6 linked regions of the Macaca mulatta genome follow. The protein of the gene in region 5 purifies or fractionates together with the protein of the main gene of each other region. This does not show direct contact. Links are inferred from orthologs where the notes say so. Each region holds a gene or a part of one and is shown on either strand. Other genes may lie near its edges.

Region 1 (5,145 bases), on a different chromosome or scaffold from region 5:
GTCGTATGATGGATACCTTTTACCCTTCTCCACTGCCAGCAGCCAACCACTGTCCTGACAACCTTTCCATCAATATGACAAACTTGTCCACAAAGGGACTGTAGTTAAATAATAAAAAATTGGAAATAATTTTAATTGCGGTCTTTAAAAAAACCTGTACATATTTTGTTGCCATCTTTTTAACTGTCAATCAAGTGAAACTTCCTCTCTTAGCATTAAAAAAAAAAAAAAAAGAAAAGAAAAAAAAAAAAAGACTCTAACCCTAACACCATGTTTATTAAATGGTGGGTCTGAACTCTTACAGATAATAATCTTAACAAAATTCAAGGCTTAACTTTCTTTCACCTAAGATTTGATTTTTTTTTTTTTTTGAAATGGAGTTTTGTTCTTGTTGTCCAGGCTGGAGTGAAATGGCGTGATCTCAGCTCACTGCAACCTCCGCCTCCCGGGTTCAAGCGATTCTCCTGTCTCAGCCATCCCAGTAGCTGGGGTTACAGGTGCCTGCCACCACGCTCACCACATTTTTGTAGTTTTAGTACAGACAGGGTTTCATCATATTGGTCAGGCTGGTCTCGAACTCCTGACCTCAGGTGATCCGCCCGCCTCAGCCTCCCAAAGTGCTGGGATTACAGGCATGAGACACTGTGCCCAGCCAGATTTGATTTTTTAAAAAGTAACCTCAAGCTTCAGTTCTGAAATCAGCATCAGAATTTGAAAGCAAGACCTATGCCCCAACCCAAAGTAAGTGTTCAATAAGTATTAATTCTAGGAAGACTCACAGTCCCCTTGGTCGGCTGCCCACGCAGACCAGGCTGCCACTCGACTTCTAACATCCACCTGGGTGACGGTCCCAGGGGGCGCAGGGGCAGGAGCTCTGGGTGGGGGCGGTATACCAGGGTCTGCGTTGGAAATCATCCTTAAAAAGATGAAAACAAATAGAATTTTTACCATCTCTATTTCTATAACATATCAATTAACTCAACTTGTGGTACTAGTTATTAAAATTCAGAAACAACTATGTCAAGGGGCAATAAGGATTTCCTAAGCATTCCATATTATGCATATTTATGAATGCATATGAAATAAAAAAAATTAATAGTCAGCTGAAAACTAGGTTGATTTTCTTTCTGAGTCTCATGTGATTTGGAAGGGCCATGGAACAATTACAATCCTACTGTCTAGCTTGTATTTCCCTAAGATACCTTCTCTTCAAATGCCACTCATCTTTCATGACCCTGTGACTTCCAACCCAAGTGAAGCCATATCAGAGAAAGATCAAAAATATGGAGAGCAAAGGAGCAAACGCACTGACAAACTTGGGAGAACAAATGTGTTGAGACTACAGGTTATGATCTATACAACATAATAATATACTTCCATGGAAAATAATTCTTCTAACTCTTTGGGGGAAAAAAGCCTTAGAAACAAATCAATTCCACCCCTTGATTTCTTTTAATGTTTTTACCTCAGGGCATCAGGCCGCCTCTTCTGTTTCCCTCCTTTACTGTCACTGATTGCACTTTCAATATCTTCACTAATTAGGTTTGCCTGCAAGGAGATACAAGTTACCTGTAAGTTGATAGATTTTTCCGAGTCTTGATATGTAGTTTAAAACAGGAAAAGGAATTGTTCCTTGTCTGAATCAGTAAGCATCTTGATGTAAAAATCTTTTTATAAAAATGTTGTGAAACATGACTCTTGTGGTTTTTATAATGGTGAACTATATAATGATAAGATTTTAAAAACTGAAGAAATGTTTAAAGATTATCTTAAAGGGAAACTATCATTGAATAAAGGCAATGAAGGAGGCAAAGAATGGATATGCATATGCTAAAAATGAAACTGAGTAAAAATCTCTAATTGGGAAGAAATTAAGGGGTTAGAGATTCCCACACATAGAACAGACAGAGTTCCTTCCCTTTCTCATCCTCAAGATCCACTGGATACCTATTAACCCAGCAAAACATATCTTTGGGTTTAAGGCAAATCCACTACACCCATGAGATAAACTCCAATACTAGGTTGTACCCTTTTGGGTAACCACTTTATTTTGTCACTTCAGGTAAAAGCTAACTTTCTACAAACAATTAACTTTTCCAATACTTTTCCAATAAGAACATTCAGTTAGATATTTCTTGGGGATCAATGTGAGATTCACAGATAAGAAGTTTTTGTTTGGTTGCAAAGTTTGTTTAGAGCCAGTCATTATCACTCTATATTAGAATGTTGATGAGATGCACCATCTATGTTTGTGCCTCCTTGTTGTATGTAATGTTTTCTCAAATATGTACGTTGTATTTCTTTTACAGTAAGCATCGATAATCATAAAATTTTGGAAATGATGGGATATTTAAAAGAGCATCTCATCAGTTCCTTCTAATTAATAAAACTGAGGAGTACTTGTATGAAAGGGCCTGGCCAAGGTCACATTGCTCGTTAAATGAGAGTGCCAATGCATCCCAGTCCAGTGTGACTTCCTAAGAGCATTAAGTTTCAATAAGACATTACAAACATCCTGTCAAAGGCTTTCTGTTACATAGGATACTAAAACTGAAGATGAAAAGACAGTTAATTAAAAATAATTATTTTTTTTTTTAAAAAACCCCAAACAAAAACTGAAGATGCCTAGGAATCATCAACTTCTTATACTGGGGCTATTATATTTCTAAGAAAAATTTTGCTGCAAAGGTGGGCAGGAGCATTGCATGAAGTCCTATAATAAAGAAACTTTAAAAATCAAAAACAATATTGCACAATGAGCCATATAAAATAAACTGCATTTTTCATTGCGTTTATACTTTTAACCAGCCAAGGGAAAAAGGTCTCATATGCAGAGTATAAAACCAATGAGTAAATGCATATGGTGCTCTGTGGTATGTGAGCTTTTGGAGTTAGGACAGAACTATATTCAGTAAATACATTTTGAATCCATTATCATTACCATTCCATATCAAATAAAGCAAACCCTTTGTTCCCAAACTTAAAATTCAGAAGCTTTACACTATGGCATAGTAACTTTTAGCTCCCGGGGGGCTTTTTAGAGCACAGATACAAACATCAAATCTGAAATGTTTTTTAACTTAGGCCTCTGGTTTATATATGTTTGAATTAAATTTCACTATATTTTTAAAGCAAAATGTTCCCTTTAATATTTATTGAATATATCTAACCTTACAAAAATTATAATATACTATGACTTTCAAAAGGCACTATACAAAAATCTGATGAATATCACTTACACAAATTACTTAAATGCCAGTTCTTTTAGAAGAAGGTTTTTAGAAAGTCATCTGTGATGTAAATTGAAATTAGAAGAAAATTATGAAACACAGTTTACAGTCAATTTTACTTTATCTATCATCTTTAAATGTCAAAAAATACAGAAAAGATCAAGTGACTGTGCTAATCTCCTAAAAGTTCTTTATAAGATAAAATTACATGGATATTTTATAATATATCATCAAAATGTTAAATCACTGCTTTAGCAAAGTACCAATTAACACAAAATGATTTCTCTTTTAAAGAAAACAACTCAGGAAATAAACACATTCAAGGTTGAAGATAACTTCTAAGGTCCAATAAAGCATCACAAATTATAATCATTTGAAATTACACTATACTTTGAAATAGAAACTTTCAGGACACATCGTGTTATTACTGGCTCATCCATTTTCACGTATCATTTGGGAATTACAAATCCTGAGCAACGATTCGAATCACATAATTAAATGGTGAACTTTAAATCAATATCGTGGGAAATGTCTAAGTACTTCATTGCAGTAATCCACGCTATGTCATTAGTGCAGAATAAATTAGAATTACATGATTATTTACTGTCCACAAAGCATGATTTCTGAACAATCAATTTTTAATTATAAGTTTAAGGCATTTGATGTGAATTTAATATATTATCTATCCTTTAAAAAAAAAAAAAACAGAATGCCTCTTATTTTTAAGAGACACAGTCTCACTCTGTTGCCCAGGCTGGAGTGCAGAGGGTCGATTATAGCTCCCTGTAATCTCCAACTCCTGGCTCAACAGATTTTCCTCTCTCAGCCACCTGAGTAGCTGAGACTACAAGTATGTACAACCACACCTGGCTAATTTTTTAAACCTTTTCAGTAGAGACTGGTCTTGCCATGTTGTCCAGGCTGGGCTTGAACTCCTGGCCTCAAGCCATCTTACAGCCTCGGCCTCCCAAAGCACTGGGATTACAAGTATGAGCTACTCTGCCTGCCCCTGATTTTATTAACATCACCCTAATTTCTTTATTTACTTGCCATGGAAATCCTAAGGAAGATACTAAGGTATTTGTTTTCCTTACAAGATCCTCAGAAACTAAAAATCTAGTACCTAATATGAGATATATTATCAAAATAGGTAATTCAAAAGCTGCCAGAACGTCTGCTTAAAGAGGAAACAAAAATTTCACCATTCTCTTACCTTAACCTCATCACACTGGAAAAGATGAAGATCTGGCTTGTTCTGGGTTGGCTCTTTGCACACCAGGGCAAGCACTGAATCATAGCTGCATGAATGCATCACAGCTTGGCAGTGCTGGATTGTGTTTAAAGGAAAATTCTCCAGTTCATTCTATAAATAAAGTAAACATTTTATTTTTCAAACTTCCACCCATTTTCAAACAATCTGAAATGACTGTAAACATTAATATTAGTGGCATTTTCTTGAAAATAAAATAGTATAAATTTTACACACTTGCCTTTGATTCTAAATCAATCAGGCTCACAGCTCTGTCATCCACTTGAAGAATCATATCTTGAGTCCACACTTTGCCCTTGGCATCAAGCAATTTCAACTTCCTTATTCCATCATCAACAGTGATCATAGCATCTTTCCGATCCAGGATAAATGTAGTCAAGTGCTTACGATTGGCAAAAAGGAAAAGGATTTATAACAGATACAAATACATACAACCTCTTACATTTCCAATACATTTTCCAAAAGAAAATCAAATTAACCTGAGGTCAGCTAGCAGAGAACGACAAACATAAAGTGCTCTTAAAACTTCATGACTATTTTAACGAGAGAATAAAGCCAAGCAGGGATTTTTGGGGTTTTTTTGAATAGAAGAAATGGTGTTTTGACTCATAAGATACCTAAATCTCTTTCATACTGAGCCATGTT
Region 2 (4,471 bases), on a different chromosome or scaffold from region 5:
AACTTCCTGGGCCCTGGAGGATGGCCATGCAGCCACTTTTCAAAAGTGCTTTGATTCTGGACTATAGTATGTGCATGGTTTGGACATGAAAAAAAAATGAAACTCAGATGAGGTGTCCTGCTCCCAACTCTGCGGCCTCAGGGCCAGCAGGGGGCGCAGCCACCCTCTCCCGCCAGCTACCTCCTTCAAGATGAGGCTAAGGCCAAGACTGAAGCGGCAACTGCCGGAGGTGACCCCATTCGGGAAAAGGCATGAGCGCGGGATGGTTCGGAGGACAGGAGCAACACCAGGCTTGCATAAATATCGAAGGCCGTGGAGGTTAAGGCTGCAGGCGCCCTCTCTATTAGGTTGTGTCTGCTGTATCCTCTCGTCCTTGGAGCTGCTCAGGTCCCTGAGATTGTGTTTCTGGGATGGGTCAGCAGTGCCAGTGAGGTGCCTGGTGGTCAGGCCAGCTCTTTCTGTAAGTCTAGGGGAGAAAAAGAAGGGACACTTAGCAAGGGGCCTCCTAGCTTAGTTCTGGCACTAAGAGCCCAACAAGGCATACCCTCACCCAACCTTGTTACCCGTTTTACTATGCCTGCAGCACTGGGCTGGACACCCTACAAATGTTCAGACACTATAATGTAGGTGTCACTGCCCCACACTTTACAATGTAGCTAGGAAGGGCAGGGAAAGATACAAAATTAGCCAGGAATTTGGCTATTGAACCTTGGAATTCAGACACAGTAGGCCTGACACTCACACACCATTCTCCTCCTCTGGGGCCCAGCAAGGGTGATAGCTGGCCCTTCCCAGGCATTCTCAGACCATAAAAGTTAAAGATCCAAGAGCAAATACCCCATGACGGGACTTCAGATTCCCACTTCCCATCATCAGCAATGGGACCCCACCCTAGCACTGCCCACTGTACCTGAGCCCGGGAGGCCCATCTTCTCCTCTGGACCCACCAGCTGCACGACACCTCCATTCTCCGCCAGCTCCCCCTTAGTCCTGTCCTGGGTGTGAGGGAGCCCATTGGTGGGAGGAGCAGTAAGGGGTTCAGCTCGAGGGTAACTGGGGGAGGTGGGTGGGGGGACTCCCACAGATGGCTTGCGGGCCACAGGCGGGGGAGCCTTAGGTGACTTCTTTGGGGCCTGGGGTGGCCGCTGCTCTGAGATGCTCCGGAGTTCTGCCACCAGATTCCGCTGGAGGTCAGCCTGCGTCTCAGGGGACATGGGCCGCTCCAGCTGCAGCTTCCTAGTGCCCTTGGAGAAGATGAAGCTGGCCGTCGAGGCAGGGGACTGGGGAGGCCGTGGTTCTGCCTCAGGCGGTCCGTTGGGCTGGGCACTTGAGAGGCCTTCGTTGGCGGCCAGGCTGCAGGCCTTGAGTCGGACGGCAGCATGGAGCCCTGCGGAGGGGGCAGGCACTGGGCTGGCCCGCCCTGACAGGGCCCTTCGTAGTGGTTTCTGGGGGGCCAATGGCCCCAGTGCTGGGGTGGAAGCCCCTGCTGGAGCACCCACAGAGCGCAGCCGCACCATCTGCAGGAGCGAAGGCGTGACCAGGGGCGCACCTACGTCCTCCCTGGGAGGCCCACCGCCCTTGCTGCAGCCCACCGGTTCCTTCTGAGGGAGCCTGGCCACATGCCCTGGGGCAGAACTAGCAGGAGCTGGGGCTGGCGGAGCTGGAGGAGGGTCTGGGCTACCCTGGGGCTGACTCTGCGAAGCAGTAGCTGAGGAGGACGAAGCAGCCGGGGAGCTGACAAGCTCTGGGGAGCCTGAAAGGCCTGCAGGCTCAGGGCTGGCCACAGAGAAAAAGGCCTCCTCAGGTGGGGGGAAGTCAGCCATGGACAGGTCCTGCTCCTCAGGGGCAGGGGGTGGGGGTGGGGGCCAGTTGGGATCTTGGAGGGGCTCCTCAGCAGTCTCTGGGGCAGATGGTGCCTCCACAACCACCTCTGGCTTCTTAGTGGGTGGTGGGGGTGGATGGTAAGATGGGGGTGGGGATGGTGGGGGTGACTGGTCTTTGGAGATGACAGGAGACTCCTGCAGTGGGGTCAAGATTGTCTGGGAAGTGGGAGGGGACTGGGGACTGGCATCAGTGGTAGAAACAGGCCCAGGAACCATAGCAGGGGCGGCTGGAGCAGAGGCAGCTGGGTTAGGGCTCTTGGGCTTGGAGGGAGGTGGAGAGAAGGGGGCAGGCACCTTGGGGTGAGGAGGTATGACAAACCTGTCACCCAGGGGGGTCAACATCTGTGGCCCAGAGCGGTCTGAGGGGGCTGGGTCAGAGGAGGAGGAACATAGAGACGTGAGGGAAGAGGAGACGGAGGCCCCAGGGGAGCGAAGGGACGTGACACGCTCTGGTTTAGGGGGCTGGGCCTTGCCTGGGGAAGCAGGGGGACCTGCCAGGACCTTGGGAGGGAGGGTGGGAGTACCACTTTGGCTCGAGTATCCACTGGAAGGTGAAAGCGTCCGTTCTGGGGAGCGTGGGGGGCGCCGGGAGCCACCCGGAGACAAGCCAGGTACCCAGTTGTTTGCTGGGTTGGGTGGACAGGGTGCTGCCCCCGCCCCTTCTGAGCCACCAGTGGTGGGTGGCCGAGGCGGCTGGGGCTGCTGCTTACGCTCAGGCTTAGGGGGCAACCCTAAGGGCCCATCAGGCACTGCTAAGCCCCGCTGATGGAGGGAGTGGGTCCGGCGGGGAGGGGGTGGAGGCCGCTTCAGCTTACGTAGGGACACACTCCGGCCAGACAACTGCCCACTGCTCCGAATGCTGAGTGTGTCTGAGGCCTCAGCGGTGCTGCCCCCACTGGGGGAGCCCCTCCCACTGCCTCCTTGGGGAGGGGGTGCCATGCTATTGCTAGCCATAGAGCCCTCCGGCTGGCCCTCAGAGCCACCCTTAGAGGAGAGGGTGGAACCGTCAGAGACAATGGTGTCGGAGGATTGAGAGTGGCTCCAGGTGTCACTGGAGGAGGACGGGTGGCGGCTGCGGGGCTGTGGGCTGGAGACCGAGGAGAAGCGCCCCAGCGAGCGGACTGAGGCTGGGCTGGCCGAGTGCAGGCTGCAGCGGCTTAGTGTGCGCAGGCTGCAGCGGCCCAGGGCCACCACGTCCACTGTGGGCGGCAGCACAGCATGTGGAATCAACTTCGACAGGTAGGTGGCCTGGGGGGAGATGGACATGGCCGGGCTCAGGGACTCTGCAGGCCCTGCCCCTCCTGTCAATCCAGGCACTGCTAAGGACATGGGCCGGGTCAATGGTGGGGGCCGGGCGCCCGTGGACCGGCCAACAAAGGTGTCATCCCGGTAGACACGGTCAATGTGGCGCTGCAGCATGGCCTCTGTCTCAGCACTAGCCTCCGCCTCTGCCTCCAGCGCCTGCAGGGACACCCGGGCCCCCATCCCTGAGGTGCCTCGGGGGCGGCCGTCCACTGTGGGGATGCGTACAGCATCCAGTGCACCAGGAGCCCGGGGCGTGCCTGGTGCCTCACGCTCATTCCGCAGGCCTGGAAGGGACAGGGAGGAGGTGGGGTCAGCAGAGAGGGATGACCAAGGCTCCCCACCCACCACCACTGCCCTCCTAAACCAGGCCTCACCGAGCTCCTTCTGCACATGCTGCGGGAGTCCTAGCACAGTGCTCCGCCGCTCCCGCCGACGCCGCCCTGACTTTCCAGATTTGGGAAATGAGTCATGGGGTCGGAAGGTGGAGCCTGGGGGCCGGTCGGGGGAGAAAAACTGTTACAGCAAAGGACTCAGGGCACATTCTGCAGGGCACTACTTTTGTAGTAAGAGCTCTGCGAGAAATGATTTCCGCAGTCAAGTAGGTATGGGCAAGGCTAGGTTAAACAAAGCTAGAGGCTTCTTTTCTGTAAGACGTCTGGAAGGCTACTAAGTCAACGATGGTAATTTCCCTTTAGTGATAGCTTATTATTTAGTAAACATATTATCATGTGTTAGTCAGCATGCTAAACATTTGGCATTCATTCCAATAAGATACTTATCCTCATTTTTAGAGAATATCAAACAGAAGTTCAGAGAGGTTAAGGGTTTTCCCAAGGTCACACAGCTGGCACGTAGTTACACCAGGCCTCCAACAGTTAAGATTTTCTAACTCTTAAACTGCTTTATAGTTAGTGTGTATCATGAATGTGCAAGAGGACACAGGGTACCGTGTTTCCCGAATTCATTGAATCAGAGAGCCTGGCGAAACACTGGATAAGGAGGAAAAGAAGCTACAGATGCTGGGACCCAGTGGCGCCCCCCGTCCCTCTCCCCTGCCCGTGAATCCACCTTTGCGCTGGATCATCTCCGAGCGGATGGAGAGCGCGTCCTCTGCTGTGGAGCTCTCAGCCACGTAGGAGGTGGTCTGGCTGCAGGAGGAGATGTTGTCTTCATCCGGCGCCGTCCGTGAGGACTATCAGGGTAGAAGGAGATCAGGCCCTGATCTGGCTGGCGCTGCCTCCTCAAGGCTCCCCAGTGGAACTTTTTTTATTTTTGAGACGAAT
Region 3 (5,145 bases), on a different chromosome or scaffold from region 5:
AGCGCGGGGCCCTGGGACTGCGCGGCTCGGGCCCGAGCGGCCCTGGGCCAGGCGCGCCTGCAGTTCCTCGTTGACAATGAGCATCTGGGAGAATTTCTCTGCAGGTGGGAAACCCGGAGGGAGGGAGTGGGGGCTCAGGGCGAGGGGTCCTGGGGCCAGAGGGCGGGGGGGTGCTCCAGCCTCCCCAGAATGGGGCAGGAGTCCATTTGCTCTTTCTGAGCCCCCGTTTCCCTGCCTGGAAAGCAAGGATAAGAACCTCTCCCCACAGCCGGCGTCCCCACCACTCACCCTTCTCGCTGGAGTCCAAGCTGTTGAGGCTATCGCAGCTGTCCCAGCGGGGCCGAGCCAGAGCTGGAGGTGGGGCTGGGGCTGGGGCTGGTGGCGGAGGAGGAGTGCTGTTCTGAAAGGGAGCAGAGGAGAGCACCTGGGTTAGGGAGAGGAATCAGAGTCCCAGCCTCTCCCCTTTCTGGAGATGCATTTATGAACCCTCAGTCACCACCTGCACCAGCACTCTTGACAGCTGATCCCCACGCCCCTTGTTCCCAGTATCTGGTCCCAGCCTCTCCTCCCTCAAGACCCCAGCGTCTGCGCCGGCTCACCAGGCTGCGGGCAGAGCTTTGGCAGTGGTGCAACCGGGGTCCGGGGTGGGGTGTCAGGATGTTATAGGGCACATATCCCTCCTGCCCCGCTGGGTCCCGAACCTTCCACCACTTGCGCCTGTCATCCAGGACCTGCGTGCGGTAAAAGGCAGAAGGTTCAGAGCCTGCATCTGCAGCTAGGGCTGCCTAATTCCTGCCCCTCAGCCTCCCGCTCCTCTAACCTCCAGTACGTCCCGCTGCTTGACCGACAGCTCACTGCTGTTGCGGGCCTGGAAGTCATAATTACACAGGACCCATTTTCCTGCTGTCTCTGACTCCAGCTGAGGCTCAGATTCTGGCTCCAAGTCTTGGTGACTGAGGAGAAGCAGGAGGGTTGGAGATAAGGAGGCAGCCAGCCCCATTGCTCTGGGATGCAGGGTGCTGGTGTGAGCTAGGGTTAGAGCCAAGCAGGGGGCACAGCAGGGGCCAGGTTAGTACTGTTAATAGAAATTTGAAACGAGAATAACAGCCTGAATATGTTTTGCCCCCTCCGTTGTTTGGCATTGTGCTGTAGGCATATGCAGTGGGTACTATCCCATCATCGATTCCATTTTACAGAGGAGAATGAGGCTCAGAGAGATAAAACCACTTGCCTACATCACACAGCTAGAAACAGCTGTCATTTATTGAGCATCTAATAGGCACTGGGCTTAAATATCATAACTCATGAGCATAATAAAAACAATAGCTATGCCGGGCACGGTGGCTCACGCCTGTAATCCCAGCGCTCTGGGAGACTGAGGAGGGCAGATCACAAGGTCAAGAGATCAAGACCATCCTGGCCAACATGGTGAAACCCTGTCTGTACTGAAAAATACACAAATTAGCTGGGTGTGGTGGCGCGTGCCTGTAGTCCCAGCTACTCTGGAGGCTGAGGCAGGAGAATCGCTTGAATCTGGCAGGCAGAGGCTGCAGTGAGCTGAGATCTCACCACTGCACTCCAGCCTGATGACAGAGTGAGACCCTGTCTCAAAAAACAAACAATAGCTACCACTTCTGTAGCACTTACTATGTGCTAGGCACTGTTATGTATATTAGTTGATTTGAGCTTCATGACAACCGTTGGTAGAACCATGAATTTGGACTCCCCTCTCCCCGCCCCCAGTTTCTTCCTCCCCCAGAGACCCTATTATCTTCTCCATTTTCACAGAGGAGGAAGCTGAGGCACAGGGATGTAAAGGTCACAGGTGGCATCGCCAGCCTGGGACCAGGGCAGTCCATGTCTGAATAATGCTGCCCTCCTTTGCAGGCAGCTGGACTTGAACTTGAACATGGTCACAGCCTTGAGCCTTGAACTGCTAGTTCCTACAACACCACAGACTTCTCACTGTTCCAGGAAGGGATTACCATCATTCCCAGTTTCCCTGCAAAGAACTTGAGGCTCAGAGAAAGTGACTTGAAGCTGTGAACAGGGAGGGGGGTTGCGATATCAGGCAGCTGGGGGCAGGGGTGGGATTTCAGCTCTGACTCCCGATAAGAGGGACCTCAGCCTGGATCAGGCCTACCTGTGCAGGGGGGAGGGGGGGTCTTCAGGGCCGCGGCACCCCCTGTGTGGGGCTGGCAGCTCCCAGCACGCTGTCCCTGCTGAGACCCTCTGCCCAGGCCCTCACCTAGACCCCCCTTTGTCTCCTCCAGCCTCACTGCTTTGTTTTCGTCTCCTCCCATGTTGTTTCCCTCCAATCTGCCCTCTATTTGCTCAAGGACCCTAGAGTTCTGGTCCATCTACTTCATTTCCTCCCCCAGGACCCAGAGTCTGAACCCCCACTGCTTGGTAGAACCTGACGTGGAATGTCCTTTTTTCCCCCAGGGACCTAGGAGTCCAGGTCTCAAGCTTCAATCTTATCCTTTTAACCCTTAAACCTTTTAACCCAGTCCGACACCCAGCAGTGACTTAGACAATTGCATTAGAGCGTCTGGAAAACCAAGAGGTTAATCACCCAGCCTTTACCCCTCTCCGGGGCCCAGAGATACTACCACTTCCTAACTTTCCCAGAAACTTGCCCCCAAGCCCTTGAAGTCCCAAGCCTGCTCCTCTGGGTCTCCAGGATCCCAAGCACCAGACTTGGGCTCTTCTTCAAAACCCAAAGGTCGAATTCCCCAGCCTCTCCCCTCCAATATCCAGGGCTCTGTCCTCGTAGGGAGCCCAGACATGGTGCTTCCCAGGCCCTGAGAAACCAAACTGCCTTCTTCCAGCCTTTTGGGGATCCAGAGATCCAACCTCTCAGACTTTACCCACTCCCAGCCCCTTTCCTCCCGTAGGCCCGGAAACCCCGGTCTCCATTCCCTCCTCCCTTGGCCCCAGAAGTCTGGATCCCGCCCCCTCCCTCCCTGCTCCTCCCTCTCTCCCGGCCCCGGCCCGCCCCTTCACCATCTCACCCACCTGAAAAGAGCCAGGAAGACAGAAGGAAAAACACAGAAAAAAAGGGGGCGGAGTCAACACCGGGAGCCCCCGGGAAGCACCCCTCCTGGACCCCCTTGCCCTGCCCTGGGGCGGACACTCACCCATTGACAGCGACCTGGGGGGCGCTTTGCTGCAGGAAGTAAGAGAGTCGGGTCAGGCGGGGCCAGGCGGACCGGCCACGCCCCCACCCCGGACTTCCCAGCCTCGGCCCTGCCGTGTCGCTTGGGGGAGTTGGCTGCTCCCCTGAAAGCCTCAGCCTCACCTGCCGGCGCCTCCGCTCGTGCTGTAGCTGTTTCTCAACTGGGTCTTCCCAAGCGCGGCCCTGCGGGTCAGTAACCGGCGGCTCCCAGCCGCTGAAGAACTCGGGTCTGTATGGGGGTCCCTCTTCCGGGGGCAGCTCCAGCCTGCAGCCAGGGACAGGGCCAAGAGCTCAGGGATCCTGGTACAGCCCCCAGCTGAGCTCTGTCATTAACTTCACTAAGTTTTCCCCTAAAGCTCTCTGTATCTAGCCCCGCCACTTTTCACCAAGTCCTGCCGGTACCTCCAAGCCCAACCCAACAGTAATTTATATTTCTAGGCCGGGTGCAGTGGCTCACGCCTGTAATCCCAGCATTTTGGGAGGCCAAGATGGAAGGATCGCTTGAGGCCAGGAGTTCAAGACCAGCCTGGGCAACATATTGAGACCCGCCCCCCACGCCCATCCATCTCTCTCTCTCTCTGGAAAAAAAATTGCCTTATCTAGCCTCTAAATTTCACCTCTGATTCCAAATCAGGTTTTCCTTAAGCTCGGTTTCAGGTTCTGACCCTTTCCCTACGAAACTCCCAGCCCCCAGTGCACAGACTCTGTCCCATCGCCAAAGTTATAGACCAAACTTTCCAGAAGCCCCGCCCCTTCGCGTAGCCCCGCTCCTGCCCCGTAGCCCCTCTATTCCTTTAAGCCCCACCTTTTCTTTCAATCTGATTGGTCTGCTGGTCTTAAATCTTTCCTTCATATTAATTTCTGGCCTTTCCGCCAATTGAATCTTGGCATCTGTCCTAAGCCCCGCCCCAACACAACGAAGCCACGCCTCCAACCTGTCCCTTTCCTCCTAGTCTCATTTTCCAATCATGCCACTCATCTCCCAGCCCTTAAGCTCCTCCAATCACCACGCCCCCCGCCTCCCAGTCCCGCCCCTCACCCGGGGCGGGTCCACGAGTCCCCCAGCGAGGTCCAGAGCTCGTTTTCACGTGGAGTGACGTTGTCCCGCAGCAGCGCCACGGCATCCGACGTCAGGTGCGGCTGCCGCACGCTGCTCGCGAACTCGGGCCCCCCCGACGTGTTCACAATCTGTCAGGGGAGCGGGAGGGGGCAGGCCGTGCCGTCACACCGTCTGCAAGTCGAACCGATTCCTCCCGCCGCAGGGGGGCCCGAGGACCTGGGGCGGGTCTCACCATCTGCAGAGGCCCGAAAAGGAAGTGCAGCAGCTCCGGGGAGGAGGGGTCGGCGATGTTGCCGCGCAGCCGGGCCTGGGGCGTGGGGAGGGAGATGGTTGGCGTGGGTGCGGGGACGGGGCAGCTTCGCCGTGCCCGCGCCCCGGCCCAGGGGCGGACGCGTCCTCACCAGCAGGCTGAAGGCGTACTTGATCTTCTGCAGCACGTCGGTGTACTCGGCCTCCGAGGGCGGCTTGGCCCGCAGCGTCAGCAGGCCCTCTGCGGGGGCCGACGGGCGCGGCGATGGGGACGCGGGGCCAGCACCAGGCAGGCAGAGAGAGAGGTGGACACCCGGTTAAGATGGCTGTGAGGTCAGCCCTGGTAAGTGGCGGGAGGGGAGACCCTGGGGAGAGGGGGGGCATCTGGAAGTGATCGGGAGGGGGGTTCAGATCCCACGCGGGGGTGCCCTTACCCCCAGCCGCTCGGCGCCGGGTCCTGCGGCCGCGTTCCCGGTGCTCCAGCACCCTGGCCGCCTCCGCCGACTTCTGCAGCCTCGATACGAAGCTCTCTACGTCGTCGAACACGTGGTTCAGGATGTCCTGGGGGACAGAGGAGGGGGACGCTCAGGGCTCCCGAGTTCCAAAACCATCCCCGTCGAAGCCCTGAACCTGAGCACCTAGACACGTCTCCAGACAG
Region 4 (5,646 bases), on a different chromosome or scaffold from region 5:
GTATTTTATTATTTAAGTAGTGGGCTGTCTGTGACTCTAACCACTAAGCATACCGTTTCTGAGAAAATAAGACCCAAGTTCCAAACCATTTTACAAGTTGTAAAATATAATCAATCATGTAGTAAGTTAGAACTACCAATTCACAAAATTATAAGCTGAATGTGATAAACTAAAAACACAAGATTCTTAATTTTATAAAAAGTTCCACCTCAGGGGTCATTTATTTTTAACAACTAGGTACCCAGGCATTTAGCACAGGATTTAATTTACATATATCTTTGTATTACTATTTCACTAGAAAAGTTAAGTCACAAAGAATCAAACACACTTCTATCTAGTGTAGGGAAAACAAAAAATATGCTGACATACATCTTCATAAAGTGAGCTATAAGAAGAAAATTGTTAATATTTCATAAATCAAAGACTGCTAAGTATCTAGTGCCAATTCAAAAGTGTACAGGTAATGGAATTAGATCTGAACAGGTAAATGGAGTTCAAAGAACCTCCAAATTCATTTTTCTCTTTTCTCCTGAGATAAAGTTATACATTTCATTAATTAAAATGTTTGATAAATCTTTAAAAATGTTTCACTGAGTATATTAATTCAATGGATATTCTTTACACATTCATTTTATTTGTTCAAAAAAGAAAATTGAACCCCTACTATTTGTTAAACACTACACTGACAACTTTGGATTTATGACAATAAGCTGCAGGTCAGTTCCTCTCCTCAAATAACTAAAAAAACCATGACTTTACTGCATTTACCCAAGTGACAGTGACAGCTAAATTTTAATTCAAGAAAACATTATAAAACAATCACTCTCAAAAAAGAAACCATACAATAGTTAACTTTAAACACACTTTAATAGTCTTATCTATATGAAGTTTTCTCACAAAGTAACCAAAAGCACTGTTTTGGTAAAAGTGCTAATAATATAATCTTTTGATAGTAGTCCAATAAGGAAATCACAAGGTACTATGTACTATGATAATGAAAATCAAGTACTTGGAAAGATATTTTAAGTTATTCCTAAAATAAAGCAAAATGTATAATTATAGTCTTGTACAATATATGGATATTTACAAACATGAGTAATAAAGTAACTCTATAGCATACCTTATAAATGATCACGACTAAGCATTTTGGATTGTAACACCTGCAAATTTTTAACAAAAAAGGCCTTAATATTTTTTGACTATATTATTCTTCACTAACTTAATTCAATATTCTTATTATCAAGTCATAATTTTTATTTACTATTAACTATTTTATCTATATGTTTAACTACATGTAGGTATTAACTGTAATAACCTTTATGTCTGCAATTATTTAAAACCACTGATAGATGAGAAACATTTTTCAATTCAGAGGCGTCTCTCTCCAAAGCAAGAATCAATGTTAATCAGCCATTCTAACATGACAAGGAAAATTCTGACATTTTTTCATTGTATTTTTCACAGAAATTTTTTTATCATTCATCAGCTATTTAAATTTTCTTTAAAAGGACTACAAAAACACACCTTTCCTGAATTTATGCACACTATCTACTAAATATTATCTCCATTTACATATAAGGAAATCAAGGCACAAAGGTGTCCATTTTGTAAATTGCAAGGTCATTTCCTAACCAAGCAACTAATCCTACACCATCAACTTATATTATATGTGCGCCACTTCCAAGTGCCATAAAACAATTACCGTACCTTAAAACTGCCTCTGCAATGCTTATATGTGATTCTCTTTTATCAGACGGGTTAATGCAACAAGCGTAAACAAGATGGAAAAGGAAAACTATAAAAATACAACACTTATTTTTGATAGTGAATCATTTATTTTTAAATAATGAGATGTAAACAGTTTTTAACATAAAAATCAAGTAACCAACAGCTGTTTCTTGTATTTTCAAATAAAAATTCATCCTTCAGGTAGATCATGCAAAACTGAAGCCTACTCATACTTGTAGATCAAAGTTAGAAAAAAAAATTGGATTCTAAAACAAATAATTAAATACAAGATATTGCAAAGACAAAAGTGAATAAAAAATAAAATCAGATAAATTAGGGAATGACTGATACGGTGGTTAAAATCCTCACCTTAAATATTAAATTCTTCCATTCAATGGAAGGCAACGATTAGTAATGACATATTCTGTTACTGAAAAACAAATACAAAACTTTTCTTATTCAAAACTTCCGAAATTTTACATCAAATACTTCATTCGAATATTCAATATAAACAAAAATATGTTTCCTAACAGAAACTTAGAGCATAAAGGATAAACTGTTTCAGAGAGTTCAAATTTAGACTGCATTTTTAATCATGATATAGTGCTATGATCAGAAAAATGAATGTTACCTACCACGCAAGTTTAAATTTAAGAACATTAGACGGATTGAATAACCCATAAGTCAATTACATCAATTAGTGAAAAGAAAAAAGACCTTAGCTAACCGTGAATCTAACACCAAAGAAAAAATTTAGGTCGAATCCACCGCACACATTATACAGAAAAGAAAATGATTAGAGTAAGTCATATTTAAGCACCTAGTCTAGCTGGGGATCAATTAATTAATCGGTTATAGGGCAGGTCGTGTATGTTGAGATAGGATGTGCTTTCTTTCATCGTTATTCCAGTTCATCATCCGCAAGTGCAAGAGAAGGTGTCAGAGTACCGAAGCTAGGGGGCATGCTGTAGCAAGGGGAAAAGAAAAATGGGAAAGGTGCAATGGATGCTGCATAGTTGAATAATTATCTGGGTGGCACAATGGGCGAGTCCTGCCGACATGAGCGCTGAGTGAGCGGCTCCCTAACTCTGCCCGAGGCAGCCCCCACGAACGGGCACCAGAAGCGACGGCACTGCTTCGCCTACCCTTCCAACCAAGAAAAGGATGCCTGCACTCGCTTTTTTACCGTTATGTCTTTAGACACCGACTCGCGGAGCAAACACGCAAACGCACGAGCCGGCTTTACTAAGCTCCAGGCACGTAGAGCGAGCAGAGGTTTCTCTGTCGCCCGGGGCTACCGCCTCCCCCGGAAAGAGGCACGGGGCGGACCGTGGGCGCGGGTGGGCAGGGAAGCCCGGGCGGTGGCACCTCAGGTGAGACCCGCAGTCTCTCCGGCGAAAGCAGCCCCGGGGCGGTCCCTGCAGCCGAACCCCGGGCGCGCCCGCCGCCGTCTCCCTCTGCACCCAGCCCGGCTGGCGGGTGGGCGGTGGGCGCTCGGGAAACCCGCGGATGGGGGTGGGGGCCGGGGCGGGGGAGGCGCGCCCATCCATCCCCGTCACCTATGCGGGCCACACACCCCTCGGTCTGCTCCGGCCGGTGAGGAAGAGTTCCTCTCCCAGCACCCCCTCCCCGAAAAAAGCAATTCCTCAGGGACTCGCGCTCACCGTGAAATCTTGGGGGCTCTCGCTTACCCCTTCTTCATGCTTCGGCAGCGGTCGCCGGTCCCCCTCGGCTCGCGGGACTCCACCTAGGGCTCCCAGGAGGGTCGGGCTCTGGGGCGGAACCCGCTCAGGACAGCGGCCGAGGCGCCAGGCCACTGGGAACGCCGCCTGGGGCGCCCACCGGCCGCCGGACCCACCGTGTGCTCGACGCGCGAGTGAACAACACCGCGAGCTGCCGCTCCCCCCGCCCCCTCCCCGCGCGAGACGCTCCACAACCGGACGCAGGGACCCGCGCCAGAAGCAGGGGGGACCGCGGGACTCTCTCCGGCTATGGTCCCATCCTTGCCCCGTGCCCCAGGAGCTATTCCCGGCCAGTCAGAGGTCTCAAAACTTCAGATTCTCACTTTCCTCTTCACCCTCGAGTGCCCAGGTGCAGTCGAGGTGGGAAACCCAGCCTCGGCCCACTCCTCCATCGGTGGGGCCGAAGCTCGCTCTTCCCCCCTTTCCTGAGGTTCTGTGGTATTGCCCAATCCTCAGTTTGGGGGAGGGGGACGGAGAGAACAGTGCTTGGCTAGGGAATGAGGGAAGATGACAGCCAATTGAATGGAACATCCATTCGGGGGCGGGGTCAAGGAGGGACCCGCCCCCGTCCCGCCCCCTCGTTCCAAACTACACTTCCCATTGTGCCCTCTGGTGCTTCCTGCCGCGCTGCACGCTGGGAGTGCAGGACCGCGAGGCCTCAAGGTATTTTGGAACTCGTATTCTTTAGTCAACTAGGTCCTGAAAGTTATAAGCTATTATAATTCTCTCTTTTTCCCTAGATAAACTTTTTTAAGCTCTCATTTCGACAGTAGTTATTCTAATAATAATTAGCTTGTTGTTTTAAAATGTAAGAAATTATTTCTTAGCAAAGAAAGTTAATGATGTGTTCCATGGCAATCTGTCAGGACCTGGGAGCCTCCTCTTCTTCCGCCCTGACAGGGTCCCCGCAGAAGATTTGTTGCCGTCATGTCGGCTGCGATTGCAGCTCTGGCCGCTTCCTACGGTTCGGGTTCAGGGTCCGAATCGGACTCGGACAGTGAGAGCAGTCGATGTCCGCTGCCAGCCGCCGACTCCCTCATGCACTTGACTAAATCGCCTTCAGCCAAGCCGTCTCTAGCAGTGGCAGTGGACTCGGCTCCGGAGGTGGCAGTTAAGGTAAGCACCTTTGCTACTGATGCGGTGTGGGAATTGTTGGCTTCAGCTCCAAAACTGCCAGCCGCTTGTTAGGTCCCGGCTTACCTCATTGCTCAGAGATAAGTTGCTAACGTTTGAATTTCTTCTCCTTCCCACATGCATCCTCGGGAGAAGCAGAATTGGAAGTTCGGAATAGCCCCCCGATGCTCTCTGCCCTTACCTCCCGCCATCAGAAAGCAAGTGGAAAGAGGGGGTGAAATTTGAATTTGTGAATTAGGGACATAGCCTGTAAAGTGCAGATGTAATCTCGGAACATAAATAAAATTAGATCAGGACTTCCCAAACTAGAGTATTGTACCTTCACTTGAAGTGAGCAGTGGCCTCGATTTGTTTTATTTTTGAAAAACTAGGTTCTAATCCTGGCACCACCACTTATGTGAACTTGGGCAAGTTATGCAGCCTCCTCTCTTTCCTCACCTGTACAAGCGGAGATCATTTTCAAAACACCTGTCTACATGAGAAGATGAGTGTGAAAATTGAGTGAAATTACACAAATAAAGCATATAGCACAGAGCCTGGTAACTAGTGAGAGTGCAGTAAATGTTTTATGATTATGTATGTTAATACAGTGAGAAAAAGGCCTTGGATTTGAGAAACAGCTGCATGATCTCAATGGAGGAAGCTGATTCAGGCAAGAGTTTCCAGGCAAAGGTGACAGGCAAGCCTGAGAAGGCAAAGAGCTTAGTGTGTTTGAAGAACTGAGGAAAAGCTGATGTGTCTAGAGCCTGATGAGAGCATCTACCAATTGATAGTGTAGGCCCAGTAGAGCCCGAGGTAGGTGATCAGCTCAAGATGTGAAGATGGGAGGCGGTGTCCAAAAATTCCTTTGTATCATGTCCCCAAGTCTAGTTTAATGACTTAAGGAGTGTTTTACAGATTTTTAACAAGCTGTCTGTGAATTTTACTTTTTAAAAATGGGCATCTGGCATGAAAGAATGCTTAGAATCCTAACTTCCTATCAAAACAAAACTTTCCAAACTTACGCCCCTCCAGTAACCTCCTGAGTCTTCTCCTTTCACAG
Region 5 (5,145 bases):
AATTCATTCAAATACCAAGTGCCTATCATATACAAAGCACCGCTTTTCGAAATAATTATCAGGCAAAGCTGCATAGCCATTCAGTAAACCAGGTAACAACCCAAGCTATCTAATTTGAAAATACACAGTCACTGGAAGGTAAATCACATCCTACTCATTCAAGGACCCATGCTAATTTAAGGTACTGTTCCCAGATTTTTTAAAAAGAATATTTACTTACTTCAAAGGATTTTAATTAATATTTAGAGAACGTGGCAATTCTGTGGTGTCTGTAATTCTTTTCAGTTCAAGATACAGGTTGAGTAACCCTCATCTGAAATGCCTGGGATCAGAACTGCTTTGGATTTGGGTTTTTTTTCCAGACTTTGGAATTTTACATATAGGTAATGAGATACTATCTTGGAGATGGGATCCAAGTCTAAACACAAAACTCATTTTTGTTTCACATACACCTTACACACATAGCCTGAAGGTAATTTTATTTTTCCCTTGGGAACACTGAATAAACTGTGTCATGTGCCTGCGTTCTGACTGTGACCCATCACATGAGGTCAGGTGTGGAATTTTCCACTTGCGGCATCATGTTGGAACTCATTGTGGATTTTGAAGCATTTTGAATTTGGGACTTTCAGATAGGGATGCTCAGCCTATATTCACTTCCTTTGCAAACTGCTGTGGAAAGCAATCTAAAGTGTATCATGGCCCATGGACAAATCCAAACCACTGCATTTTTTGTAAATAAAGTTTTATTGCAATATGGCCACATCTACTTACTCATGTACTATGTCCTCTTTTACGCTACAACAGTAGGACTGAGTAGTTGTGACAGAGACTGTATAGCCAGCAAAGTTTAAAATATTTACCATCTGGCTTTATACCAAACAAAGTATGCTCACCCCTAGTTCTTGGGAAGATACTTTTTAATCCTCTACTATCAAGTATATTACCCGATATGTCATTCCAAATTTGTCAACTTCTATAAATATGGTCCCATTTTCATAATTAAATTTGCTTTACCAAGAAAGAAAATATGGGTAAAAACACAATTCAAGGCCACTCAAGTTTATCATCCTCATAAGTAACAACAGCTCTCTATTTGAAGGTATATGGGAATCTAAAGTAGAATATTTAAGACTTTCTTAACAATATGTAAATTATTTACCGTTTAAAAATATAAGGCCAGGAGTGGTGGCTCACACCAGTAATCCCACAACTGGGAGGCTGAGATGGGTGGATCACTTGAGGTCAGGAGTTCAAGACCAGGCTGGCCAACATGGCAAAACCCCGTCTCTACTAAAAATATAAAAGTTAGCTGGGCGTGGTGGCGGGCACCTGTAATCCCAGCTATTTAAGAGGCTGAGGCAGGAGAATTGCTTGAACCCGGGAGGCAGAAGTTGCAGTGAGCCAAGATCGCACCACTGCACTCCACACTGGGAGACAGAACAAGACTCCACCTCAAAAAATAAAAAAATATAAAAGGAAAACAAATTTACTTTTGCCACATATCCAAAACTTGGGCAGGAAAGAATGCTGCTGGTCTCAAGAGCTACAGCTACTTGCTTAAAGACTGTTAACCCAATAAAGTCAATAGAAGGAAATCTATCAAAGGCAACCAAAAGTGTTCAACTAAATTACAAGCATTTTTCAGAACTCTATAGAAATACAGATTTGATTTTATTTTTAATTGATTCCCATTTCTGCAAAAAGAAATACAGATTTTAAAATAGCACAGAACTAGATGAAAAAATAAAAACTAGAAACAGGATTTGTTTCTTCCCCACCTATATTTCTTAATAGATAATTACAGTGAATATTGGGTACTGTAGGTAAATTACGACTTTATAGTAGTTCATAGTTTCATGAAATATAATCCTGGTAATTTGTCTTCTCTTTTATAAAATCACCTGACACCTTAATTGAGGCTTTTCTCATGATAGTACTAATAAATTTTTAAAGACAGATGCTCCTCCACTTCCATATGATGGGGTTATGTCCCAATAAACCCACTGTTTAGTGGAAAATATTGTAAATTGAAAGTACGTTTTCAACCTATAACTTACATTTTTTACTTATAACAGGTTTATCCAGACAAAGCTACATCATAAGTTGAGAAGCATACTGAATGCATATCATTTTTGTACCATCATAAAGTTGAAAAGATCCTAAACTGAACCATTGTAATTCAGGGACCATCTATATTTAGATATGAAAGGTCATCAACAGAGCTTGACAGAACTTTTAAAATCTTTACTAATTACATATAACTCCATTTTTGTGCCTTAGCTGTTTCATCTACAAAATGCCATCCAGCAAGTTAATCTTCAGCTGAACACATATGTAGTTTGAAAGCAAATCTAACACTGCAATTTTAATTTAAAATACAAAGAAAGAATCACCCTGTACACTGGGAATAATACAAAGCTTAGGAAGTAAGGTTTAAGTAAATCATCTTGGCTGGTAAGGCAGTTTAAAAAGCTGAGAAACATTGGACTAGATGTTCTTTATAGTCCTAAATTTCTACAATTAGGTTATATTCCTTCACATCAATTCAATTATTGTACCTTACCTTTCTCAATATAATTCTTGGGGGCCCAAGCAGGATCCCCATCTGCATATGGATCATTATACTGAACTACTGCAGCCTCCTCATCTTCATAATCCACTGGAGGTGGTGGTGGGGGAGGTGGAGAGTCATCAAACATGGGAATGTCATCTGGTGGAGGTGGTGGCGGTGGAGTTGGACTATCAGCAACTAAAAAGATTCATATGATTGATTTGAATCACAAATAAGTCTAGATGGAAAGTTATAAGTTAACAGAATTTAAGAAAGCTCTAACTTAAGTACAGCATGCACTATAATAAAACATGCAATGATTAGAAATAAAAGCTTGGTGTGTTAAAGTTTATGCTACTCAAGAATCATTTAAAAATAACAAAATGAGCTAAAAATAAGTGTATCTGGAAGTATTACAAATTAATGAATGCAGGGTGTTAGGAGACAATGTCTCTTTTTATAAGGATTATAGGAGTAGTTTCCTTATTCCAAGGTTCAGATCGGGACAAATGTTAACAACCTAAACTAAATCTATGTCACTTTTGTCATTTGGACTGCAGTAAACGATATGAGTAACATTACATTAATGGTTTGATCACTTTTCACTCTGCTCATTCATGCCCGATTTTGGCTTGAAACAGCTTTGGTTCCCTAAAAATTGAGTCTCCCATGGACAGATTTTTGTTTCTTTGCTGATTATTGTTTGTTTTGATGGAGAGAAAGTTAAAGTTGGTGGTATTAGGTCTGCTTCTGTGTATAGATTTTCTACTCTGTTATTTACATTTTACAAGTTGAAAAAATGGAAAAAGAATCCCCAACCAGTAGAAAATCTAATTGAATATTTTTTAAAATGTTTATATTCATAATCAGTTTTTTTGTAGAAAGCAAGCTAAAATTTTGCGTTATTGCTAGTAAAACATAAGCACGGGATGAGGGCAAGCCTAGATCCTAAAGATTCAATTTTCTAAGAATACATCAACAATTAAGATTTAAACATAAAGTGTTGAAGATGTAATTAAAAAAACAAACAAAAAGAAACTTATAGTAAACAAAACAATAAAAATGACTCATACCTCAAACTCTAGATGGTCGTGGTCAGTATATATGTGTGTGCTTTACATAGTCAAAGGTGTAAACAGGGAAATGGGAAAATGTCAGGCTAGAGCTCTGTTCAATGAACTAGCTAGCATAATATCAGGTAAAAATGCTCCTATTACTTAAAGAATTCAAAGCTGGAACCCAACTAGTGCTTAACTTAAATTTCTGATCCATAAAATTCTTTAAAAGTTCAAAAGACATATGAAAATGTTTTCATACAGATTGATACGGGAATTATATAATTCCTGCAGGGGAGAAGTTCATAATACAAACACACTAAATCAAATGCCAATTTCTGGGGCTATTTACGTGATCAAAGAAATCAGCCGTAATCTATTTGTCATACAGGTTTAAACGTTTACCCTCCTGGGAATAATGTGCTGAATATACAACCAAGGGCTCCAGGTTTAAAATATTTGCAGATAATGACCCTATTTTTATAACCACTTCAATGCTGTGATTTCTATTTTATCCTCTTGAGGGATGAAAGGGCTATTAGAAAACAAATCTTGTATGGTAATGCTCACTCTAACACCTATCAAACGGGTCTACAATTAAATTTTCTGCCTCATTCCTAGATCCATTTTATCGTTGTCCATAACTTCCTCTATAAAACTTTTTAATATTATTGAGGACAGGAAAATGGGTATGGACCCCTCCCAACATCAAACAGCCATAGTTCATATCCTTAGTTTGGCTTAATGTGTAAATTATATATGTGGGTACTTTGAATTTACTCTCGATTTATCACACTAGTTCAATGTTTTCACGAAATTGTCTTTATGTCCAACTGTTGTAAATCTACATGTCTTATCTTCAAATTATGGCAGAAGTCTTGGTTAATCTAATTCTCTGCATAATCATAAAGAGATGCAAACACACTGCTGACTTTTTTAGAGGCTGGTATCTTAAATTGAAACACTTATTAATAGGCTAACTGCTACATGCATTCATTATCACCCACTTTGAGTGTCATAATAAACTGGGTATTTAAGAGAAGAACACATAAAATTTGTACTTCATAAAACATTTAAAGTGCTGATACATATTTTAACACCAATCTTCCTAACATACTTTCAAAGAAAACAGAAACCAAATAAAGTTAGGGAATCTGTGGCACAAGGAGAATCACTGACCCAAGTTCGTATGTTTGGTAAAAAGAACTAATACCAAGAGCCTCTTTAGCAAAGACCACACATGCCTAGAATAATGCACACTAATACTGGATTTCTATATAAAGAAAAGATTTACCAAATAGCTAGTCAGTCACCATTGGACTCACAAAACTGATGTGCATTATGACTATTTTAAATTATTTCCTAATAATTGTTAGTGGTATGGCAGTTCAAAAGTTCACACTGTCTGTCTTTAAACTCTGCAGCATTAATGACCAGCAGTTTACCCTTACTCATTTATTTTTAAAAATAAGATTCACTTCTATCTATCCATCCATCCATGCATTTATTTATTTTTGCACTCTATTTATTTATTTT
Region 6 (5,145 bases), on a different chromosome or scaffold from region 5:
GCCTGTGGAATGGCTCTGTTTTCCTCAGGGGCTAAAGAAGAAGGGAGGTTTCACAATGGAAAATCACATCTTCCAGGTGGCAGTCTTAAGAGATTGCTACTCACAGCTCTGGGGCTTTCCTACCTGCCGGCCATGGCTTTGTAGTAAGCAAAGATCTGGTCTGCCAGCTTGTAGACAAACTGATCAAAACACAGGTTCACCTGGTGGAGAGGAAGCAGGAACATCACTGGTGCCCGTTCAGCTTAATCACAGAAACCGAGCCAACTGAAAGAGGGCAGTCGGCCAGGACTGCCCAAAGTGCATTCTGGGGAAAGACGCTTTGAAGGGGAAAAAGAAGATTCTGTGGCTAAGTTTGGGAGGTTTGGTCCCTTGCTCTCAGGGTCCTCAGTCAGTCAACAGACAAGGCAAAGTTCAAAAAGGAACCAACCTCCCCACGGACCCCCTCCTTAGCTGTTTTGAGGCTGCCTGCCTGGAGGGATGCAACGAACAGACCGTCAGAACCCGTCAGTGCTTGAATCTGTCTGCTAACTCGGCAGCCTCTCCATCTCTCTCTTCTGATAGATGTTATTTTTCATTGTATTTTACTTTGCTTTGCAATTTTTTTTTTTTTTTTTTTTTTGAGACGGAGTCTCGCTCTGTCGCCCAGGCTGGAGTGCAGTGGCACAATCTTGGCTCACTGCAAGCTCCGACTCCCGGGTTCACACCATTCTCTTGCCTCAGCCTCCCGAGTAGCTGGGACTACAGGTGCCCGCCACCACGCCCGGCTAATTTTTTGTATTTTTTTTTTTTTTTAAGACAGAGACTCGCTCAACAAGTCGCCTAGGCTGGAGTGCAGTGGTGTGATCTCGGCTCACTGCAACCTTCACTTCCTGGGTTCAAGCGATTCTCCTGCTTCAGCCTCCCAAGTAGCTGGGATTACAGGCACCCACCACCATGCCCAGCTAATTTTTGTATTTTTAGTAGAGACAGAGTTTCACCATATTGGCCAGGCTGGTCTCAAACTTCTGACATCAGGTGATCCACCCACCTTGGCCTCCCAAAGTGCTGGGATTACAGGCATGAGCCACCACACCTGGCCGCAAATTTGTTTATGAAGTTGATGGTCACATTTCAAAGCGCCTTCCTTCCAACTTTGCTTACGTAGCTTTGGTTTTTAATGAAGAAAGCATTGACATTTCAGGGTCTCATCATCAGTGACAGACTGTGATGCTCAGGTGGGAAGATAATTCACACCAGACACAGAGAATCAAACCAAATATTCCAAAAATAGCAAGAGCAGGACATGACCATGAGATGGGGCAAAGGCAGTAGCTAGGTAAGAGTCAAAGGAAACAGATCCTATTTACTGTCAGATTTAGTATTTTAAGTCTTTCATGTTTAACATTTACGTGATTAACCTTTGATCCTTTCTCACCAGACCCTTGGCTCCATAAGGTTAATGATTCAAAAAGCTTTCAGATCTTTCATCTCACACCCTACGTGGTATGCAGAACACAAAATCCCAGCGCTGTGTTTAGTGCTTTCCTCAGACCTAGGTCACTGAGGCCGCTGCCCTGCACTTTGAGCTTCAAGGGTCATCAGTAGACCTCCGTCCAGGCAAAGAATCCATAGGGTCAAGGTGGGCATGTGCACTCAGGCCCCATTCTCCCCTTCTAGAACCAGCTCTGAGAAGCCTTCTACAGGCAGCTCAAGCCTCTTCCAGGGCCACGTGCTCTCTTCTCTGGCCTCCCCTCTGAGGATGGACTGCACTACGGGTGTGTGTGACCATAGGTTTTAGGTCTGGCTGAGGGTCACTGTTTTTGAGCAGAGTTGACAGGCAGAGCTTGGGTATTTACACACATGCACATGAAGCCCTTCATGGTGCAGCACAGAGTTTGTGGGTGGGAAGAGAAAGGCAGCAGGTCCTGAACTGGGTGTCTCAGTTTGTACTTCTGCCCTCAAAGGTTACACAGGCCTTCTGATGGCCATGATTACAGAGATTCCTCTCCTAGAACAAGTCACTGATACTCCTACTTCATGCTAATAGCAAAAAACTGGAAAAGTCCGGAATTTGGAACAAGATTAAAGGAGCAAAAGGAGAAGCACGTCACTTGCCTCAGCTTCGATCTCATCGTACAGGAACTGCTTTTTAAACTTGGTCAGAGCATAGTAGGCGCTGTCATTGTATAGATCCAAAGGGTAGAGGACATACCTGAAGAGGGAAAAACACAGCCAGCCGCTTACTAATGACCTCCCTTAAGGAAGACAGTTTTATACTTGCTTGGGAAATAGAAACAAGTTCAGAGTCAGGAAAAGACCATCTTTCAGCCCTCTCTGATGGTCCCAGAGCCTCCACCGCTTAGGAGCAACTTACTTTACAGTCAGCCCAAAGAAATAAGAAGTCCAAGATGCAAATAAAACCAGGACTTGTAAACATGTATCTGGGACTAAAAGACATCAGGTGGCAGTTAAGAATATGAGCTTCCTGCTCCTGAGATTACTCTTTTCTGAGCATAGCTGTTATGAGGCTGACAAAGCATAGGAAGGACAGCTGGCCTGGGAAACTTCAGAATTTATCTGCAAGGCTGAATTAAATGATTCTGTCTGGCTGAGCTTTCCCCGTGGTGGGGCACATGGCCTCATTTCTTGTCAACTCAGTGCTTCCTTCTGGAAAGAACGGAGCTCCCTGGTAAACTGCCCTCCACTTGCACCCCAAGAGCCACCTGCTGGCCCAATGCTGCCTCTTACTCCATCATGGAAGGTTCTTTGGTTTCCAGGATATGGTCCGTTAGAATCCAGGGCATGGACATCTCGATGGGGAACTGGATTCGTCGGCCCATGGTTAACTCCAGGAAGAATTCTCGGAACCAGAGCTGGGAGAGGTCACAACACTGCTGCAGGGCTTCTGAAAAGCATAAGGGAATGAGCCTTGGGTTACTCTTAGCACTAAAAGACCTTAGTTCTCATTGTTTTTATTAATTTTCATTGTTATTGTTACTGTGTTAGGTATGTAGCAGGTACTAATATTGATTAGTAGGATCCTGCTCTCTTTTACTTAAAGGCAAGCCTAATATGTACTTGGAAAATAGCATTTGTTAAGCTTGAGTGGCAGTGGTTGTGGGCTGGCGGGGGAGAAGAGAAGGCAGTGATGTTTTAGAGCTTTAGATGCCCCTATAGTTCCCATCACCCTCCTACAAAGTCATCCTGAAAACCTGCAACCTAAGCTTGAAAAGTACGCTCATGGCTGGGCGCAGCGGCTCATGCCTATAATACCAGCACTTTGGGAGGCTGAGGCAGGCAGATCACTTGAGGTCAGGAGTTTGAGCCCAGCCTGGCCAACACGGCAAAATCCCGTCTCTACTGAAAATACAAAAAAAAAAAAAAAAAAAAAATTAGCCAGGCATAGTGGTGCATGCCTGTAATCCCAGCTACTCAGGAGGCTGAAGCAGAATTGTTTGAACCTGGGTGGCAGAGGTTGCAATGAGCTGAGATCACACCACCGCACTCCAGCCTGAACCTGGGAAGCAGAGGTTGCGGTGAGCTGAGATAGTGCCACTGCACTCTAACCTGGGCAACAGAGCGACTCCGTCTCAAAAAACAAAACAAAACAAAACAAAAGTATGTTCATTACACAATACAGTGTCAGTGTCAAGATAGGCCCCCAAGTGCCCACTTTCAGTTGGATTGTGGCTCCTTGACTTCTTGTGTGTGTTAATTCGTAGATCCCATACAGTTTAGAGGCCTTGAAGGCCCTTCCCAGGCTACTCTCTAATGGAGAAGAATGTACTGTTTGTTACAGCCATCACTCTTTTCAATCCCAGCAGACATACGAAGACTCACGTCCCTGAGATACTACTCTTCCTCTGCCCTAGACATACATCTTACTAAAAGGAGAGGAAGTGTGAAGAACACAGGACTGGGATGCAGCTCGAGAGCCTCCCCTGCTGGCAGCAGCAAGTACTACTTAGCGCTCGGCTGCGGCTGAGTAGCAAGTCTAGCATCCATGTGTCTGTATGTGCATATTCTTGGTTTTGATCCCTCTCTACTAAGGACTTTATGACAGATTAGCCACAGGTATCTCCCGGACACATTTAGCTAGGTCAGAATAGCTGAGTTGAACCTGGCCTTTCCCAGCTCCAAAAGCCCACTGGAAAGTGTGTGTGTTTTCCTTGGCGGTGATATCAACGATCACGTCCTTAGGGTCAACGATCACGTCCCTTTGCCATGCCTGGCTTGGTGGTCTTAGTGGCTCTGAGCCCTTCGTCCCCTCCCTCCATGCCTCAGCAGGGGTGGGATGCAGCTCACCACTGATGTTGAGCAGGTGTGTGAAGAAGAAGGACTGTTTGTGAAAGTCCTCTATGGCGAGGACAATGGGTCCGTCGAGGCTGCTCCTCAGGGTCTTCTTGGAGCCGCTTTTGTCTGCAATGAGCGATTCAAGCATGGTCCGCACCATGTATAGCTTGAAAAAGAAGGCAAGATGAGAAGGTCAGAAGCTGGCCCTCCACCCCAGGGGAAAAGGTTGCTTCGTGTTGTATTTATGTATTTATTCTTGTCTGCAGATGTCTGCTCTTAAAAAGCATTGTCCTAAGGAAGCACCAGTTTAGGGTTTGAGAAGTAAATGTGGAACTGTGAAAAGCTTCATGGCCAACCCGGGCCCCGTGGCATCCCTGGGCCGGTGGGCCTGGCCACAGCAGGTGGCTCCCTGCTCTGCTTGGCCAAGGGTGTGTATATCAGAGGAGAACCTCATTACATGTCACCCTGGAGTCACTCACTCCCTGTTTTCCCAGAGGGCCACAGATGCCATGGGCGGAGCACTGGACTGGGAGTCAAAAGACCGGGGTTCAAGGCCAGGCACTGCTGCTGATTTGCTGTGTGACCTTAGGCAACAAAGCCCCCACTCTGGGCCTCAGTTGTCTCATGTAACATGAGGGGGTTGGACCAGATGCCTTCTCACACCAGTCCCTTTCAGAACTAACATTCTGAGGAACTGAGAAATGGGATAAGATCAGAACGAACCCCCTCCCACACCTGTTCCTGATCCTCAGCGTTTTGACCCCGTGGCTGAGCAATGGCGCCCCCTTGGTGGCATCAGCTGCACTGCACAGCCTGCTGAAGTCCGGGGCGGAAGGCGGGTTAACATTGGTACTTACACAGGAGGCTACTAGA

What was found.
Region 1: the proteins of ABI1 (region 5) and EPS8 purify together in Homo sapiens (affinity purification with western blotting; 4 studies listed by BioGRID, with this or other methods). This does not show direct contact. The link is inferred for Macaca mulatta from reciprocal best matches to the Homo sapiens genes ABI1 and EPS8.
Region 2: the proteins of ABI1 (region 5) and NHSL3 purify together in Homo sapiens (affinity purification with mass spectrometry; 3 studies listed by BioGRID and IntAct, with this or other methods). This does not show direct contact. The link is inferred for Macaca mulatta from reciprocal best matches to the Homo sapiens genes ABI1 and NHSL3.
Region 3: the proteins of ABI1 (region 5) and EPS8L1 purify together in Homo sapiens (co-immunoprecipitation; 4 studies listed by BioGRID and IntAct, with this or other methods). This does not show direct contact. The link is inferred for Macaca mulatta from reciprocal best matches to the Homo sapiens genes ABI1 and EPS8L1.
Region 4: the proteins of ABI1 (region 5) and WASF1 purify together in Homo sapiens (affinity purification with mass spectrometry; 6 studies listed by BioGRID and IntAct, with this or other methods). This does not show direct contact. The link is inferred for Macaca mulatta from reciprocal best matches to the Homo sapiens genes ABI1 and WASF1.
Region 6: the proteins of ABI1 (region 5) and CYFIP2 purify together in Homo sapiens (co-immunoprecipitation; 4 studies listed by BioGRID and IntAct, with this or other methods). This does not show direct contact. The link is inferred for Macaca mulatta from reciprocal best matches to the Homo sapiens genes ABI1 and CYFIP2.

The regions. Positions count from the first base shown.
Region 1 is NC_133416.1:18,126,092-18,131,236, forward strand, and holds part of EPS8 (epidermal growth factor receptor kinase substrate 8), read right to left. Parts: intron 4,883-5,145; coding exon 4,721-4,882; intron 4,594-4,720; coding exon 4,444-4,593; intron 1,549-4,443; coding exon 1,466-1,548; intron 917-1,465; coding exon 780-916; intron 1-779. UniProt on the Homo sapiens protein: Signaling adapter that controls various cellular protrusions by regulating actin cytoskeleton dynamics and architecture. Depending on its association with other signal transducers, can regulate different processes.
Region 2 is NC_133406.1:208,086,027-208,090,497, forward strand, and holds part of NHSL3 (NHS-like protein 3), read right to left. Parts: intron 4,381-4,471; coding exon 4,257-4,380; intron 3,677-4,256; coding exon 3,563-3,676; intron 3,473-3,562; coding exon 911-3,472; intron 467-910; coding exon 444-466; 3' UTR 1-443. UniProt on the Homo sapiens protein: Able to directly activate the TNF-NFkappaB signaling pathway.
Region 3 is NC_133424.1:67,399,110-67,404,254, reverse strand, and holds part of EPS8L1 (epidermal growth factor receptor kinase substrate 8-like protein 1), read right to left. Parts: intron 5,049-5,145; coding exon 4,922-5,048; intron 4,729-4,921; coding exon 4,640-4,728; intron 4,546-4,639; coding exon 4,471-4,545; intron 4,367-4,470; coding exon 4,218-4,366; intron 3,444-4,217; coding exon 3,302-3,443; intron 3,170-3,301; coding exon 3,141-3,169; intron 954-3,140; coding exon 821-953; intron 732-820; coding exon 600-731; intron 401-599; coding exon 289-400; exon of another isoform or gene 285-288; intron 99-284; coding exon 1-98. UniProt on the Homo sapiens protein: Stimulates guanine exchange activity of SOS1. May play a role in membrane ruffling and remodeling of the actin cytoskeleton.
Region 4 is NC_133409.1:15,225,516-15,231,161, forward strand, and holds the start of WASF1 (actin-binding protein WASF1), read right to left. Parts: upstream 3,624-5,646; 5' UTR 3,420-3,623; exon of another isoform or gene 3,393-3,419; intron 1-3,392. Other genes in the region: CDC40 (pre-mRNA-processing factor 17), read left to right, coding at 4,398-4,586.
Region 5 is NC_133414.1:28,115,911-28,121,055, forward strand, and holds part of ABI1 (abl interactor 1), read right to left. Parts: intron 2,753-5,145; coding exon 2,567-2,752; intron 1-2,566. UniProt on the Homo sapiens protein: May act in negative regulation of cell growth and transformation by interacting with nonreceptor tyrosine kinases ABL1 and/or ABL2. May play a role in regulation of EGF-induced Erk pathway activation. Involved in cytoskeletal reorganization and EGFR signaling.
Region 6 is NC_133411.1:166,194,998-166,200,142, reverse strand, and holds part of CYFIP2 (cytoplasmic FMR1-interacting protein 2), read right to left. Parts: intron 4,439-5,145; coding exon 4,285-4,438; intron 2,885-4,284; coding exon 2,728-2,884; intron 2,192-2,727; coding exon 2,095-2,191; intron 201-2,094; coding exon 124-200; intron 1-123. UniProt on the Homo sapiens protein: Involved in T-cell adhesion and p53/TP53-dependent induction of apoptosis. Does not bind RNA. As component of the WAVE1 complex, required for BDNF-NTRK2 endocytic trafficking and signaling from early endosomes.